Linked DNA regions of Drosophila melanogaster. The protein of the gene in region 2 interacts with the protein of the main gene of each other region in a pairwise test. Each region holds a gene or a part of one and is shown on either strand. Other genes may lie near its edges. The genes, in order: CG11409, Lgr4 and CG7379.

Region 1 (6,532 bases), about 12 Mb from region 2:
CATTCGTTGCACATGCAATTGAAATCCCCTTTGCAGTGCCCTTGTGCCAAGGTCGTTGCTGCGGTGCAGCCTATTCGAATCGTGGATCGTGAGTTCGTTGCCTAAGTCTTTTGTTTGTTGCTTGCACCACCTGTGCAAGACCAATAACCTGTCTGTCACCAGCGGACCAGCAGTAGCCAACTATTTTCAATTACATTTTAAATTTTCTGCCGCTCGCTCGCTCACGTTCGCCGCGCACTCCTAAAAATCCAAATTTAAATCGAATCGAGACGCTTTTTCACAACTTCAGAGGCGTCAAACTTTCAATGCACACGGAGCACAGCACACCACACTGTTAAAAAAAATCGAGGAAGGAAAAACCGAAATTAAATCGAAGCAAAACGCGAACACGCGACTGTCGCTTGGCTTCTGTGTCGGTATCGATATAGATAGATAGCGGACTCGGTTTTGTTTCGTTTTCGGTCTCAATCGCATGCGCGGCCTGCAGACCATTTTCAATGAGCGTTCGCAGCGTACTGAACCCGGCCGAAAGTCGTCTTGGCCAACTTCGCTGCTGCTGCTGCTGCTGCTGCTGCTGCTGCTGCCGCCGCAGCTGCTGGTGCTGCTGCTGCGGCTTATGCTGCTACTACCGCTTTTGCTGCGGCGATCTGGCTCTTTAGAAGTCGGGGCTAGAAAACACTGGATGCTGAGTGCTTTGATTAGATGCATCCATTTAATCCCATTTGAAATGCATGGCATAAACTTACATTTCGTAGCCTAGATTCGGTGCTCCAACTTGCTGGCCTCACATATACGATACCATCTATTAGGCTCGCTTGGAGCCATTACATAAATTGGTTCATTGTAAAAACACACTTAACACAAAGCAATTTAAAAAGGCATGTTAATGCACGTCATGTGCCGACACTCGTACTATACTAGACTGTTATATGTACTGCAATAACATTTGAAATAGTAACCATACGGCTCAAGCTTGCATTGAGTTAAACTATTTTGCTGCAGATTGAACGATTTTAGCACCTAATAATAACGAGGCCTCATCTCGAATGATTGGCATGACATAGCGATAGCAGATTGCTAGTTGGCTGGTTCTTTAAGTACTGCCCTGGGCAACGCAGGGTGCAGCGCTCTGGCGCCGAAGTCTCAATTAAAAATCGATTTGGCTTAGAAGACATTTTTGGGAGGGATTACGATCGCGACGCGAGGCCGGTCGTGGTAACCGCTGATCGCCCAGCTCCCATCAAATCGGTTGATCGCCGGTTAAAAGTGGCTGGCTTGCCTTGACCAAGTACACTGCGAACGATGATAAGACGGAGCATGGCTCTGGCCAGGGAAGGTGAACAGGTAAACAGCACTCTGCCGTGGATGCAGACGGGTTTCTGCTAGCGCACGGGCATTTCACTTCGGCCAGCTTCTTTCCCCCATTGACAAATTCGATTGGTTCGGTTTTCTCTGGCTTTCTGCTGCTGCGCCCCGCAATGTAGCGGACTAATATTGGTTTGGTTTTTATTACCATGTGGTCTCTGCTCTGCTCCGCTCCGCTTGCATAATAAAACTCACGCACAAGGAGCGCGGCCAGCCATGGTCTGTATATAGCCGTTCAACGATCGAAGACCGTCGATGGGCCTCAATGAACTCGGGCTCCAGTGCTTCCCATCGCTGCCACTCGATCGCTCTGATCCCTCCGGACTTCAAGTGGACCGGCCGGGAAAATCCATTGGGTTTGCAAAACATGAGAGTTCTGTCTTATCTTACGATTACTGCTACAAATTTAAAGACGCAGTTAAACCTAGTTTCTCAATAGGGCCACACACAGGCCACAAACGTTGGGCTCATTTTGCGCTTGGCACGTTTTGCTCGAAATAATTAAAACGATTTTTGGTTATTTGTAACATTTGCCATTTGCACACAACGGTGTTTACCGCCTCGCCGCAAAAAAGGGAGGCTGAGGCTGCTTTTTTGTGTGTGACAACATTTGACACAATTTAACGCTGACGCGACACATTCGTCTGCGGTTTTAGTTTGCTTAGCTCAGCTCGAGCCGCATGCCTTATGCTTCACTTAAGTTGTTTTGGGATGGGTAAGGTACATAGGTGGAACTAGGGGTAGGGTTTGGCCAGGTGCTTCACATTTGGAGCGCATGCGCTTTGACTTTGCCATTTGCGCACACTCGCAGCATTGCGACACGGCAAACAACAAAGCCCCAAAGGAAACCGAACTAAAACAACCAAAAATATATAAACGAAAACTCAGAAAAATTACGAAGCCCATAACTCTTGACATGACACGGCCAAATGCTCGGGAGAATGGAGTGGGGCTCGGCTTGGAGCTATGGAACTATGGAGCTATGGAGCATCGCGCAAAAAGTGAATTGCTTTAATGCGCCGTGGATGTGCAAAATAAAATTGGTCAAATACCCAGGTCGCAGGCCAAATACCCTAATACCCTTAGGTGGCCTTAGCATACGTAGCTCTTGACTTATAGAACCAACTTCACTGACGAACCAACTGACAATGCTATGTCCGTTGGCTGGGGAGCCGCCAGTTACCATGATCAACCGACACAAAAAATATAGTTTAAAACAAGAAGTCCATGCCATTGTGGCCAAACTGCATATATCATTTCGTCACGTGGGTGCTAAGTGCTAAATTGTATCTCTATCTTTTAGAGATCTCCGCCAGCAAGGTGATAAGGCGTTGGCTGCGGCACCTGTCCGCTCCCGCTCTCTCCCCTTTCTTCGTTACCCTTTCTCCGCCACTGCTTTTACTTTATTCGGCCATTCACTTTCTCCGTATGTTGTTTGCTTTGCTAATTTTGGATTTGCCCGCGTCACTGCAGCAACAGCGAAAAGTGAAACAGACGTCCAGAAAAACGGACGCCAACTTGCGCTTGCAAGTTCGTATGCAAAATTTCAAGAAATTATCCAATCGCGTGGCTCGGATTATTCAATTTCAGTCAATCAAATTCAAGTCCAATTCCGTATGCAAAGTAGGCTATGCTGGTCCGAAAGCAGATCGAAGATCGAGACCGCCTGGCCTCCCCAGCCGATTTCGTCACCAGCTAGTGCTGATGTAGTCCCAGTTCTGGGGGCAGCCAGCCCAACTGAGAGGCAACGACATCGGCCATGCCGAGTTCGTTCGTTACCCAAGTCTTTCGATTATGACGTTGGGAGGAGCTGGAGTCCCCATCAAAGCGACGGGCTATAACGCTAAAACAGTCGACTGATTGCCGTCGTTAAAAATCCACAAAATTGACAGCAAACGGCAGGCGGATTTCTCCTGGCAGTTACCACATACATATGTACATACATTGTAAAATCAGGGGTTATATTTTCATTTGACTCGAAACCTTTGCAAGTTCCGAATAATCCTGCGTTCTCAACCAAGACAAACGGCAAGGAAAGTGGAGGAAGTGCAGATCTCAGGAAACTGCGGATTAGTGACTTATGTGACTTATATGATTCGAGATTGTAATTTGGTTTTATTGCATTTGATTTAGCTGTAATTTATGGATTTTATTTTATGGCGAATGCTAATGGCGCGAAAAGGAAACCAAAAGTAGGCGAAGGTCGCACTGCAGAGTTATTAATTAGTACAACTGAATTTAACTAGTAACTTACCAATTGAAGAACGTTTTTAATAGTTTGGAAATCACAAAACAAAAGAGACAAAAAAATAAGCGCAGGAGAAAACACGCACGTACACACAAACACACACACGTATACTTTTAAATGGCGAGTGTAAGTGAACATACGTTTCGAGCAATTTATTGGACTTCCATCCGTTTTCGGGTAACATTTCGATGCTACTCATTGCCACGACATGCACTTAATTATAACTAACACTTCAAACTGATTTGCAGCACTTTTTTCAAACAAAAGTCCCGTAAATCAAAAATCTTTACGCCGTAAAATAGTTGCTTCTTCTTTAAGAAGAAAAGGAAGAACAAGAAGAGAACTTTGAAATGAGCAGCTTCTTCTTCTTATTATTGATCCTCTTTTCCGTTATGTACAGCACACCCTCGCAAAAAGGCACAAGCTGACGATCTAATTTGGCAAAAGTATTGCAAATACAAATAAGTTAACATTCCAAAGTCAGAAATTAAATGGCAGCTATAAAGAATATAGGTATGAGAATATTACGTTTAAAGATTGTAATAATATTACAAAGATCAAATCTAATCAAATATCAAATATATGAACATTTGCGATGTAAGGTGCATGCCAAATATAAATTTGATAAAATCAACGTAGTTTTAGATTTTATTTAATATAATTTTTAAATATTTTCATTAATCTTAGCTGTTAATTTAATAGTAATAATATCAATTGATAATTCGATAGCCGATAGTCACAGTTGGCCGGCGATGATTGTATCGATAGTATCGAGTGCCAATCGATTGCTGTTACAGCTGTTCGCGCATATGTGTGGGTGGGATTTATTCATAGCAAGGAAAATTACGAGTTTTGCGGATATAGGATTTTACATAAGTTTGCCATGCACACGCACTAGCGCCACAAATCGAGATCGGATTGATCGATCCGGAACTCCGAATATCGGAAGCACAACAAAGAGGACGGCCGACTGCCCCATGTGTGCGTGCGCGAGTGTGTGAGTATGTGCGTGAGCGTGTGCGTGTGCGTGTGAATGAAAAACCATCAACTGTGAAAATATAACCAAAAATAAGTCCGAGGCACACGGTTGCAGGCGAGGATTACCAGTCCTCCCAGATAAGCCCCGGAGGAGCAGCAGGTTCCCTCTTAGAGCCAATTCCGTCGCTTTTCAGAATGGCGGATGCCCAGGCAGCGGCGGCCGGAAAGAAGAAGTACAAGAACAAAAAGAACTCAGCGGAGAAGAACCCCAATCACAATCCAAATTCCAGTGGCCAGGTGGAGGCACAGACACCCAGCAATGGACACGTTCAGCACCAAGAGGAGGAGGCGACGGAAGACCAGGAGCCAGCGCAGGAACTCAGAGGCCTGCTTAAAAAGATGCACCTTTGCAATGGCCATGGTCACAAGGAGCAGGAGGCTCGGCCGCTTGGGGAGGTCGTCAATGGCCATGCACATGGGCACAGCAACAACAATCACATTCGCTGCACAAGCGGCAGCAGCAACAACAACAACAGCACTCACAACAACAACAGCGTGGACAGCAGCAACAACAACCGCAAGCAGCGAAGAGAAGGAGGCGACGGCGGAGGATCGGATTCGAACTCCCTCAAACCGGAGGAGAAGCCCATAACAGCCACAAGCAAAACCACTGCCAACATACACCCAACCACAACGACGGACCCAAAACCAAAAGTGTCGGAGGATGTAGCTGTGGAACAGGGAGTGCATGTGGCGACGGGGAGTGGCCACAGTCGGGAGCAGGAGAGGAAGCAACCGCCCTCCGACTATGCAGAGGGGGCCACGCCCACCATTACAGCACAGCTCCAACTGCCGGAACCTGCCATTTCAGCCGACGAGATCGTATATAAGGAATACGAGGCTGAACACCAAATGCATGTGAGTACCTCCAAGTATGACCAAGTGCGAACTGTGCGCAACACTTATCTAATTCCCCGCATATCGAACACGCAGGACATCATGCGACTGATCCAGGCGGAGCTGTCCGAGCCGTACTCGATATACACGTATCGCTACTTCATCTACAATTGGCCAAAACTCTGCTTCCTCGCCTCGCACGACAATCAGTACGTGGGCGCCATCGTGTGCAAGCTGGATATGCACATGAACGTGCGGCGCGGCTACATCGCCATGCTGGCCGTGCGCAAGGAGTATCGCAAGCTCAAAATCGGCACCACGCTGGTCACCAAGGCCATAGAGGTAGGATGTCTGGGGCATCTTTCCCTTGCAATAAGTTATAAATCGGGTTGCATGTAATCGATGCTCGATATGTGTGTTACGGAACAATTATGTGTTGTTAACTATGGATGAAATTGCCATCAAAGCTCACCAATGGCTCCTCGAGCCTCGAGGTATACTTTCGGGCACATTGGCGAGGGATACATACCAACTACCTCTCTTTCTGTGAAAACTTATATCACACTGCAATTTTCCCATTTGCAGGCAATGCTGGCCGACAATGCCGACGAGGTGGTGCTTGAGACGGAGATGCGTAACCAGCCGGCTTTGCGGCTCTACGAGAACTTGGGCTTCGTGCGAGATAAGCGGCTGTTCCGCTACTATCTTAACGGGGTGGACGCGCTGCGGCTGAAGCTCTGGTTTAGATGAGTGGACCCGGCGGCTGCCGTTGAAATTGTTGTCTAAGTAGCCGCCGAAGATGTCGAGATCTGCGCTCTGCGGAGGACCAGGGCGCTCCCCTCGTCCTGGGTCCTGGCCAGCTGGCAGCTTGTATCGGCGCCCTCTTTTTTGTACCTATTTAACTAGGAAGCATCGTAGCATCAGTTTATTTTCTCCCCAACTCACACCGTCCCTTGTCTCTCTTTCATTTGTAAATTATTTTATTATGTAGCAGCAGCAGTACGAGCAACATCTGCTACATATGCAGGAGCAGCACGAGCAGCA
Region 2 (6,106 bases):
AAAGTTTTCGAACGGCAAGGAAAACTTCGTTGAAACTTAATTCTTTCGTCTATGTGCTTCATTGATATTTATTTATTTTGGGAATTCAATTATTTGCGAACTTGAAATTGAACGAATAAACAATTAGATAAGTACTAGTACTTCAGTTGAGATAGGTACATAGAGTTTCAAGGGCCAGAGCTTTATACTCATTTTGCACTGAAACTAAATGTCATGTATTTGTGCATTGCATTAAAAAAAAAAAAAAAAAATGAAATCCCAATTTTTGTTGCACGCTTCACCATTTTCTTTGATGGCAAAATGTGTTTTCACTTCATTAGCGAGCTGCGCCTTTCTGCAGGACTTCAGATCCCTCGGGATTTCCGTTTGCCACCCAAATAGAGGAATTGATCCATTCGCATTTCAATCATATAAGAGCTATGTATATGACCCCGCCCCAATCACAAACCCAATCCACTTTCCATTCGGGGTTTTCCCGGCCCATTCCGTTTTATCCTCGCTTTTTTCTCGCCAATCATTCAGAACGCCTAACATGTCCGCTTCGGATTTAGAATAAGATGCCTTGAGGCCTCAACGGCTGAACGCTGAACACCACGAAACACTTCCGAGTGAACCCCTAATGAGGCATAACCTTTATGGCGGGCACTGTACTGTCATTGCCGCCACCATTGGCAATTCAATTATGCGACGCCTCAAAAAAGAACACCACAAAATTATATGTATGGATTACTTGATCAACTTAAAAGCCCGAGTGGATCTGGACTGGACCCACGCTCCGAAACTTGATAGTGGGCCTTCAATTCATTGGCCCTCTGGAAATTGGACATCGGACGTCGGATGTCGTGGGCATCGATTAGCGTACGCCGGATAATGATACGGACACGGATACGGATACGGACATGGACGGGGATGCTTAGCAATCTGGGGACACTCGAAAAAATATGTTAGTGTAAAATTTGGAAATTTAAAAACAATAAAGATGAAAAATTGATAGTGTTTTAAAAAACAGGTCAGTTCATTTCCTTAAAATGGGATGTATGTATGTACATTTATGTATCTTTCTATTTACTTATTTATTTATTTACATATTTCGTATCTAGTACCCATGCACATGGTACTAGACCCAAACTCTCTGTTAAACTGTACACATATTTATTCGAGTGTGCGACTAGATGCTAATGGATCCGCTGCAGTGCACCCACATGCGGACCAACTGAAACTGTAGAACCGCCGTCCCATAAATAACGATTGCTGGCCGTATTCAAATTACCTAAAGGCGGAATACCGAAGTTGGTTGCAAAATGGGTATATGGGTATATGGGGATTATTACTCCAGAGCCATATCCGCATATTTTCGGTTGGCATTTGCCCGCCGGCGACAAGTGCTTAAGTGGCAAATCGCCAGGCTTCCACTTACACAGTTACGAAAAATCGAGGGGGCGAATTCAAAAGAAAAACAATTGTGGGCCACGCACTTTAACCCTTTCGATTTAAGAGTTCCGCTACCTGAGTTACAATTTGTTATTTCCGTTTCGCCAGGGTTCCTTTACCCAGCTTAAGCTTTGTAACTAGGATAATGTCTTACGAAGGACACAACATAGCGTTTTGAAGGAAAATCAACAGCAATTAACACTGGGCCAATTGGTAACTAGAATTTCACATTTTTCTCATACCCTGGCCATCGATATGCAATCCCGTTTTCGTTAATTAGAGTGGTTGCCTTAAATATAATATCATACAATTAAAGAAAGTACAAAATGTTTGTACTTTTAAAGATATGTTGAATATTTTCCATATTTTGCCAGTGGATACAGGAAAACGTAACTAAATGCCATCATTAAACAATCCCGCGACTAAGCTTATAATAAATACAGAAAGAAAAAAAAAACTAATAATTACCCCAAGCAGCTTACGCAAATAGTTTTGGTGAATTTAATAGAATTTGAAGGGGGGGGATGTTGAAGGGAGACTACCCCCACTTAATTGACACATTCCACTTGGTTTTCGGTGGCTCATTAAAAGATGTGGTTTGTGGGGTGGGACTAGACAAATAATCCCCGTAGCCAGGGCGCTAGCTATATATATATATATATATATATATATGTCTATATATAATATATGTATGTATATATTTGTGCTATATAGTGGGGATGAACGGATTTGTCTAAGCTGCCAACGCAGTTACAACTAATAACACAACTTTGGGGCACCAAGCGTTGTCAGGTCAGCGCCCAGTTTTCTGGCCACCGGAACCACAAGGAGACCGGTGGGCTCCCATTCTGGGCCACCCTAGTCCACCCTGGACCAGTGCAGACCACCCTTTCAACTTTTCCAAACCGAACATATCCTTCTCGCCTAGGCATTTGCAATTCATTCGGGCACATAAATCTAAACGGCACCACGCACTTACACTTAATGACATTTTATTACAAAATTTTTACACAGACCCATCGATCGACAGAGATAGAAATAGACATTGCCGGCACTGGGAGCGACAGAGATGGCGCAAAATACCAGACATTGAGGCGTCAGCTCCATTTTAATAACATAAATTAATATGCAAATTGGAACAGAATTTTAATTGAAAATCGTTTCGATACAAATACAAATTCGGTGCATTTTTCGAACCGCCCAACGCGAATTCCTGTCAATCATCAACATTTTGATTGGATTGTGTAAAATGTTTTGGCATAATGATTTTACATTTTTACACCTAAGAAAACCTGCATCATTTCTATATGTATATTCCAAAAATTCGTAGCATTTCTTTGTATGCCTTAAATAGTTTCATTTATTTATTTGCAAACTCTTTCAGTACTCTTATTATATAACTTTAAACATAAAAAAAAAATTGAGCAACGCACCGGCAAAAAAAAGAAAAACTTTTGTATCTAATGCACTTTTTATTCGCGGACATTTATGTTTTCTCGAGCTCAAACTTTATTCGAAAAACTTCTTGGTGCCCTTTGAACTTTGTCAAACATCCAGAACTTTCATCACTTTTGCACCTTTTCGTGCATATAACTTTTGGAATTTCTTTGTAAAATTATTTCATTTTCGAAAGTTTTGGCTTGTATACTTTTTGCCATCACTATCCATTTAAAAAATGTTCAAGCCTGTATTCGATTTCATGCCATTTTTCTCAATGATTTTTTTTTTTTTTTGTATTCTTTATGTTGTCTTAGCTTTAATTTCAATTTGAATCCAAACTTGAAATACCCTCCTATATATACATATATGTATATTTCATATGAATTTCCTAAAGGTAGCACACTTAAATTATAAACCCTCAATTATCGCATGGATAACATTCACACAACCATCGAAAATCCCAGGCACTTTCACATCCGCAGATGGTCAATATCTTGGCCGGGTTTATTATTTCGATTCGCGTTAAAATGCCACACAAACATTGCGAATAAAGTAGATAAAAACCTATACACATTGGAATCGGGGGATATCTGGCATCTCTCTATAACTGCACCGATAAATATACACACAAACAAAAAAAGGGGTATTGTTTATTATTCCGGGACGTACGCATGATCGCTATTGACATCCAGGGAGTTCTTCGCTTTTTTTTTCTTCCACCGTCTCAACGGGCAATAAACAATATTTAATTATAGACTCTGATGGGCACAGCACAAAAAAAAAACAAAAAAAAACCAAAAAGAATCAAAATCAAAATAAAACTTCGCCGCACTTCAATGTGTAAGATCGCGGATCGGTGGATCCAAAAATATATATGCGCGGTATATAGTCGGAATATAGTCGATTTTTGGTCCGCAGCAGACGCGCGTTCGCCGCCAACGATAACAAACAACTGAGCTGAAAAAAAGGCGAGCGAATGCCTGCAACATGTGGCATGCGGCCTTTCCAGGTGCCCCGCCCACTGGCGCCGCCCAGCCGACCGCCCAACCGCCCACTTTTCACCCAACCAAGCACACAACGCACTCATTCAGCGCGCCGGCTGGCAATTTATGAATGAAAAGCTGAACGGGAAAAGCTCCAAAGAAACCAACGAACGCCAAGTTCAAGGTGAAAAGCCCTTTGGGGGAAAAGCGCGCGCCGGAAAAGCTCAGGAAATGAAAATGCGCCGAGCCAAAGGGAATTTCCTAATGAAATTCAAATAGATAATATGTATGTGCCAAAAGGAAATAAACTAAGATATTATGTCTATATCTCGCATATACTTTGCAATAGAATTAGTTATTTAAATTATTTATTATATTTATTATTATTACGCAATAAATAAACGATCTGTTCAATTTTTCGATAAATAACTTATTTAATAGCAACATAATTTACAATACAAGTAGAGCACAAATGAACGAAGGCTTAAAAAAAAAAAACAAAAAAAAATTTGAAAAGATCCCTAGGTGGAGTGAGTGGTGGACTCAGTAGTGGTGGTAGTTGTGGCCCTGTTGCTGCTGTTGCTGCTGCTGCTGCTGCTGCTGGTGCTGCTGCTGCGCCAAGTTGGCCTGGGCGAAAATGTGCTCCAGCTCGGCATCGGTCAGCTGGTCAAAGATGCCGCCCTGACCACCGATTCCGGCACTACTGGCACTCAGGGCCGACGGTTGGGATCCCACGGGTGGCAGGTAACCTGGAAAATATTCGTTTGAAATATAGCATAATAATATATATCCATAACGTCATCTGAGCTCACCTTCAGCTGGCGCACTTCCGTATGGCGGGAGCAGGGTGATCGAGGGTCGATTCGGCGACGCTGGCGCGGATTCGGTGGGTGGACTATAGAATACCGGCTTCCAGGGCTGCTGGACGGATGGCCGCTGTGGTGGCACCTCCGACGGCGTCTCCGGCTCGGGTGATTGTGGGGGAATCTGCGGCGAGGCTATACCCGTGCCGGATTCAGGGCGGACGGGAGTGGAGCCCGGCAGCGGTACAATTCCGCCGGGGAATTGCGACTCTGGTTGGCCAAAAGTGGGTGGCTGCTGCGGCAATGGTGGCTGTGGAGCAGCCGGAAAGAATTGGCTAGTTGGTGGACTGGGGAAGGCCGGGACCGTGGGTACAGCTGGAACTCCTGGAACGGAGGGAGGTGATGGAATGGCTGGCGCCTGGGGGAACTGGGGAATCTGGGGAAAGCCGGGAAATTGAGGGAATCCGGGAAATTGTGGTATTTGGGGTATCTGCGGTATGGCCGGAATCTGTGGAATGGCGGGAACCTGTGGCACTTCTGGGGCTTCTGGTGCAGCTGGAACTGCCGGCTGGGCGGGCACAGCGGGTTGGGCTGGCACCGCTGGCTGAGCGGGCTGGAAGCTAAAGGTCGGCACACCGGGGAACTGAGGCGGTTGTGGGAACTGAGGGATCACCGGCAAATCCACAGCTGGGGGAGACGGAACACCGAAGGTCACTGTAGGTTGGATGGGTTGAACCGGTTGAAGGGGCTGAACCGGTTGGATTGGGCTAACTGGCTGCAGATGGGTGGTCACCGGTTGCACCGGTTGAAGGGGCTGAATGGGCTGGAGATGATGAACTGGCTGCACTGGCTGCACGGGCTGAACAGGCACTGCCGGAGCAGTCGGAGCATAGGTCTGCACATAAGTGGGCTGCAACAGAAAAGAATGAAATGGTCAACGGGATATTCCACAAGTTTCCTATGTAGCTAACTCACCTGCACGGCATGCACATGGCCATGAGCCGGAGCATGGAAGTGGACAGGCTTTACGGCGGACTGAAAGACCACGGGCTTCTGCAGGTGCTGGTGCGGATAGTTGACGCTGTACGAGGAGACGACCGCATTTCCGGGACGCAGGACGTACGAGGGCGGAGCCACGGCGGTGGACAAAGCGGTGGCCACGCCGGTGGACAAGGCAGTAGCGACTCCGGCGGGAATGGCACTGGCCACGCCACCGGGCAGACCGGTGGGCAATCCAACGGGCAGGGCTGAGGCGACGGCGGGCAGCAGGGCAGCGGGTGCGGGAGCTAAGGCGGGCAGCAAACCGGAACCGGAAACGAGCGGCTTGACCAGACCATGGCCGTATTTGACGAAGTGGCGGCGCGGAGGAGCGGCGGCCAGGAAGGCACTGCCTCCTGGCAGCTGCAGGCTATAGCCGTAGTGGGCGGCATAGGTGCGGGCGGGCCATTG
Region 3 (5,656 bases), on a different chromosome or scaffold from region 2:
CCACAGCAACATGGTAGTGCTGAGCTCCTGCTGGTCGCCCATAATTTGGTCGGATAATGTCCGGACGGGAAGCTATGCCGTGGCCGGCTATACGGCTGCGCTATCCGCCGTAATGATCACGCTGATTTCGTATATGCTAGCAGGCGGGGAGTCTGCGCAGCTCTATTCCCCGCTCTTTGAGACGGATATACGTTCGTCGATGCCCGTGGCAGGTGGCTTCTTTATCATCTACTTCCTGCTAATCATCCTGTCTTCCTATTTGGTCTACTACGGTATTAAGATCAGGTAAGACGAGCTCTGGCTTCCTATATGTACGGATATAGTCATGCTTGCATCTGTTTCTCAGCACTCGAGGATGGCTGCTACCCTGGCTGGGTCTAATTGGACTAGCCATTCTCTTCCAGTTTAGCTGGAGCCTTTGGCTTATTGGAGGCTACTATATTTATGTGAGTAGCGATTATCTTTTCCATTAACTAAAGCTAATGAATTCGTGTTACTCTACCGCCAGCTGGAGCAAACCTTCTCGGCCCTTTTGAACTTCGTTTGGGTAGCCTACAATGTAAGTGTTTGAAATTCAAGGGACAGCAACACCAACTCCTGTATCATTATGTTTATAAACCCATTTTACTCATCCACTTAGATCTATTGCTGGCTGGTGGTCTTCTCGCAGTACCAGATATTCCTGGAGATCCAGAATCCGAACATTGAGCTGCTCATGCCATGATGGAAGAACCTCCATACAGAAGCTCGAATAATCTATTAGAATACTTTTTGACTTGACACGCAACAAGAACTCCGTCCATGCGCATTTTTTACAATAAGAATTCCATACAATTCCACAGATGCCTACCAAATAGTTTTATATAAATTTATATATTTTACACACATTTATACACGATCAATTATACTTATGTGTAATTCGAATGCCTTAGTCTTCTAAACGACAATTAAACAAATAGATTCGTAAAACTACTGCTACTGGATACGGGCTCCTTGGGGCCAAGAAATTATTGTGGGTTTTGAATATCAACGTTTATTACCATAAATTAAGTTTAGGTGTACTCTAATTATACGAGTTTTTGTGTGTTTACATTGAGAAAGATATTGTTTGTACAGAAACTTTAAATGAAAACTGACGACCTATAACCATAGAAGCGAGGGATCTAAACTGGGTGAAAGAGGGGAAAGTCGAAAAGGGATCGGGTCTAAGAAAGTCACTAAATATACATTAAGGTAAATCTTAGGATCGAATATTTTACAGAGCCTGGTGTTAGACACAGAGCAATGGGTTGGATAGGCTGGCCTAATAGACTAGGTCTTCTCCTCCTTTTCCTTGTTGTAGCGCTCCAGTTCTTTGAGGAACTGCGCCTTGGGTTTCATTACATTTGGCCGTTCTCCGCGGCAGTTGGGGCAGAACCACTTGCCTTTTGGTTTTAGTACCAGGGAGACGCACGAAAAATGGAACCACTCGATGGGGCACAGGTCATTGTCGCACAGGATCATCTCGCCAAAGGAGATCTGCAATAGAAAACGTGATTAGTGGCGAAGCTTTTCGATAGGAAAAGCACTGCGAACTCACCTGATTGCAGACACAGTAGGTCGGCTCGTCCGGATCAATGGTCTCCGGCGGCGGCGTCTCCTCTCGCGTACTGGCATTGGCATTTGAAGCCCCAGAACCGCGTACCTTGCGCTTTTTCTTCTTGCCGGAATTATTGCCACCAACTACGCCGGCTCCGCTGGCACCACCACCTCCGGCTGCTCCACTGCTCGTGGCTGCAGAGCCGCTAGCCAAACTGCCAGAAGCCGACTGCAGACTGGCCTTTCGTCCCTGTCCCGCTCCACTGGCACCGCCCAACGAGGATTTGCGCTCGCCACTGCCACCACCACTGCCACTGGCTTCATTTGCCGAGTTGGACTCGTTGCCGCCCATCTCCAGAGAGCTTCCGTTGTTAACAACACTCTCGTTTCGCCTCCTCGACCGCTTGCTACCTGTGCGCTGCAGTTCTCCGCCTCCTCCGCCGCTGGCATTGCCATTGGAGCCGCTGTTGCCACCATTACTGACATGGCTCGAGCGCTCCGAGTTGGGCGTTGAGCCGCCACCGTTGCCGGAGGTCATGGCATTAGAACCAGGCACAACACCACCTGCATAGCCGCCCAAGGCGTACAGATCTTTGGCCGAAAGCAGGCCGTTTCCATTTAGGCCACCGTTGCCAGTGCCCGCTTGGTTGCCCTGCTCCCTCATCGGGCTCTGCAGGCGTTGCAGCTTCGAAGGCGTGCCATCGTCCAGGAGCGCATACCGATCGCGGTCCTCCTTCAGGTCCAGGTTCTGCTGGTCGGTGTCCAGCTGGCGCAGCTTGCCGTCGATTATCTCCTGCATATGATTGACGATCTGCATTTTTTCGTCGCCCAGTTCCTGCGCCTGAATGAGACTCTGGTGCATCCTGGAGATGCTTCGAGACCGTCGCCCGGCATCCGCGGAGTTCTGCAGGGACAGATACAGGTCGTAGTAGTGGTCTACGTCGCGAATGAGGCCTGCAAATCGACGGGTTTGGACCAAGAGAGGAGGTTAGGTTTTCCGCTTTTCCAACAGGCGTAATCTCGGCCAGAACTCACCTCTGTACTGGACGTCTATGTCGCGGATGCGTGACAACTGGCGCTGCACGTCGTCCGGCAGATTTTCCACCGAATCGATATAGTTGTCCACATAGGTGGCCGAATTGATGGCCTCCGACTCGGATGCAATGGGGTTTATCATCGTGTTTGGACTGCGAATCGCTCTATTCCCGCCGCGACATCGGCTCGGGGACGTGGGTTCGGATGTGAGCTACTCTTCCGGCGCTCTGGAAGGGATCGGCTGGCTATATAGTACTCCGATTCCACTCAGTTCCAACTTTTTGTATGGCGTTGCGAGTCGCAACTTGCGACTGTACTCGTGTGTGCGTGTATGTGTGCGTAGGTATTATTTATATGTATGTATACAATGGGTGGTTGTGCTTTGCAACACTAGTCGGCTGGTGTTTTGCTACACTGAAATCGGGGTGGTTAACGGCACTGCTGTTTCGGTTGAATTTTTTAATAAATAAGTAATATTGGTTTTAATAGTTTGTGGTCAAATATCTTCTCATCATTTCCCTAGGCAATAGAAAGTATTAAAAATATTTTCCCTTTAAATACAAATTTAATTATTACTTTCAGTCCTTTTTTTGTATTCATTTTATTACAATTATCGTAATTTTAAAATCATGTATCATTCATTCAACGGCCAGTGTAGGAAACGTTCAAAACCAACCCCTTACTCATTTGCCCGGGAAACTGGAGAATTTCAAATAACAGTATCAGCTGATTTTTTAATTAGGAAAAACAAATGCACTTATATTATTTTTTAATTGATTATTATTTAATATTAATAATATAAATATTTATTGTTCCTTTCATGAAACATACGTCTGAACTATTCAGATTTGTATTTAGGTTGTCAAGTCTATTCTTCATTAAGCTTAACGTTATTAAATGCATAATACTATTATACGAATTATATATTTTTAAAATATTGTTCGTGCATTATCTTCTATGTCGGCACTTACTAAACGTCACCTTAGAAGTATTACGTACTTCGCCATGAAAGTATATAAATTTTTATAAAAATTATATATATTCAATAGTTTGAGTCTTTTCATCCTGAGTTCTGGCTCGCACTTCCTGTGCATTTGGCTGCATTGGTGTTTGAGATTCAAAGTCCATTTCCTTATCAATATCTTTAAATGCTTGTTGCAGTCCATTAACTTCTTCTTTTATAGCTTTCTGCATATTATCCCGATGCAAATCGGTGTTTTTGTGTTTGTTTAGATTATATCTATGGCGGTAGTGAACATCGCAGATCTCGCACCTGGCAATATAAATCAAGTAAAGAAATAAGTAAACGGACAGTAGTCGGGATTCTCTTTTGCACCCACCGATGAGGATGCATTCCTGTGTGTACATCCTGATGCTTTGTTAGTTGGGAGCGCAGCAGGAATCCCTTTAGGCAGATGTCACAGCGAATGGGAAACTTGTCGTGCAAAGCTTGATGTCGTTTCATGGCAGATGGGTCAGCGAATTTCATCTGGCAAATCTTGCACTGGAAGGGTCTGCTTCCGTTGTGGAAGTTCATGTGCAGGACTAGACCTTTCTTGCTGGTATAACTTTTGGTGCACTGGGTGCAGTAATGGCGACTGGATCCCTCTTCCTTTGATTTCACCCGCGTTCGAATCCGATTGCCTGCTCCGTGAACATCCCTGGAGTCAATCGAAGTGATTAGATGATGGAACCATCAAATAGTAGGTGCACTCACCTCTCGTGCCTGTGACGACTGCTTGCGTTTGCGAAGGACTCATTGCAATGGTTGCAGGGAAAGGGATGCTCGCCCTTGTGCAGCGCTCTTACGTGAATGTTGCGCGTATAGAGATCGTAGAATTTCTTCGGGCATTCGGGGCACTCGAAATTCTTGGCCCTATTGTGACGGAGCAAGTGCATCTGCAGCTGACTGCGTTGGCGAAAGGTGTGGCCGCACTTGTCGCAGACATAGTTCAATGGCTTCGCTTGTATCCTTTCGCGGCGCCTTCGGTTTTTCTCCTCTGGACTCACCCTTAGTTGAGGTTTCTTTGGTAGTGAAAGCGAATACTTTGGTGCAGTTTCCTTTAGGCTATTGTACTCACCGAGCACAACCTTATAGACCTTGGCTCCGTGATCTACCTTACCAATCTCTTCCTTAGTCTTACACTTTCGTATGCTAATTATTTCATTACATGACTTGTTTTGCTCCAAAGCAAAGTCTTTTTCTGTGTCTCTGTCTAGATCCAACTCATCTTCACTTAGTGAAAACTGAGTTGGCTCTGCATCCAGTGGAAAGTCGTCTTCATCCAGGACACCCTCACTATCCGGCAACAACTCTGAGCTGAAATCTTCTAGTCCTACGACTCCCTTTGCCTGCTGGGCGGACTCTTCGTAGAGCACATTTTCCAGCTCCGACTCCATTTCCTCGTCACAGATTTGAATGTTGTACTTTTCCGTCGTCTGCCTAAGCTTTTTGTCGACCTGCTGGCATTTGGCACGGAATTCCATGGATTTATTCACAGTTTCCTGGCACGTTGAGCAAATGTGATGCGGTAGCTCTTTGACTCCTTGTTGTATCTGCAATAAAATGTTAGTTCTTTAATGCAGCTTTATTATAATATTATATAGTGGGTTTATTTTTCTGTTAAATTTGTGGTAGAACAGTTTAAGAACTCACATATTATGTTCCTTGTCAACAAAGTTAACTTATAAAACGAAGATGAAACAATTTAACAACAAAAAAGAAAACGTAAGTTTAAATGCAGACGCAGACGTACCCACACCCCAGTGATGACCTTTATGTGGTGCAGAAGCGCTATGTTGACCCTGTCATATAGATCCTGAGCATCCTCATGCCGCGATATGATGCGAAAGCAGGTGCGGCACTTGCTTGCCGGCGGGGGATCGCATTCCTGGAGCCCAGTGCTCTCCTCTTCGAAATCACTATCAAAAAACGCACTGTCTGCTGTGGTCGTGTCCAGGGCAGTGGATGTGGTGCAGGTGGCGTCACTGTCGTCTGCCTCCGCCAGGAATAGCTTCACAAGCTTTTTGTTAACCTGCCGCG

What was found.
Region 1: the proteins of Lgr4 (region 2) and CG11409 interact in a two-hybrid assay, tested with the Drosophila melanogaster proteins (one large-scale study listed by BioGRID).
Region 3: the proteins of Lgr4 (region 2) and CG7379 interact in a two-hybrid assay, tested with the Drosophila melanogaster proteins (one large-scale study listed by BioGRID).

Annotation. Positions count from the first base shown.
Region 1 is NC_004354.4:1,337,706-1,344,237, forward strand, and holds the start of CG11409 (uncharacterized protein), read right to left. Parts: upstream 3,883-6,532; 5' UTR 3,620-3,882; intron 518-3,619; exon of another isoform or gene 195-517; intron 1-194. Other genes in the region: Naa30A (N(alpha)-acetyltransferase 30 A), read left to right, coding at 4,787-5,509, 5,585-5,830, 6,074-6,238.
Region 2 is NC_004354.4:13,185,370-13,191,475, forward strand, and holds the start of Lgr4 (Leucine-rich repeat-containing G protein-coupled receptor 4), read right to left. Parts: upstream 3,796-6,106; 5' UTR 3,560-3,795; coding exon 3,541-3,559; exon of another isoform or gene 3,446-3,540; coding exon of another isoform or gene 3,436-3,445; intron 1-3,435. Other genes in the region: CG12723 (uncharacterized protein), read right to left, coding at 4,398-4,603, 4,667-5,567, 5,633-6,106.
Region 3 is NT_033777.3:17,795,355-17,801,010, forward strand, and holds CG7379 (uncharacterized protein), read right to left. Parts: upstream 2,951-5,656; 5' UTR 2,756-2,950; coding exon 2,614-2,755; intron 2,533-2,613; coding exon 1,580-2,532; intron 1,519-1,579; coding exon 1,312-1,518; 3' UTR 1,022-1,311; downstream 1-1,021. Other genes in the region: pasi1 (pasiflora 1), read left to right, coding at 11-285, 347-446, 509-559, 641-724; CG17803 (uncharacterized protein), read right to left, coding at 3,646-3,886, 3,954-4,274, 4,331-5,169, 5,370-5,656.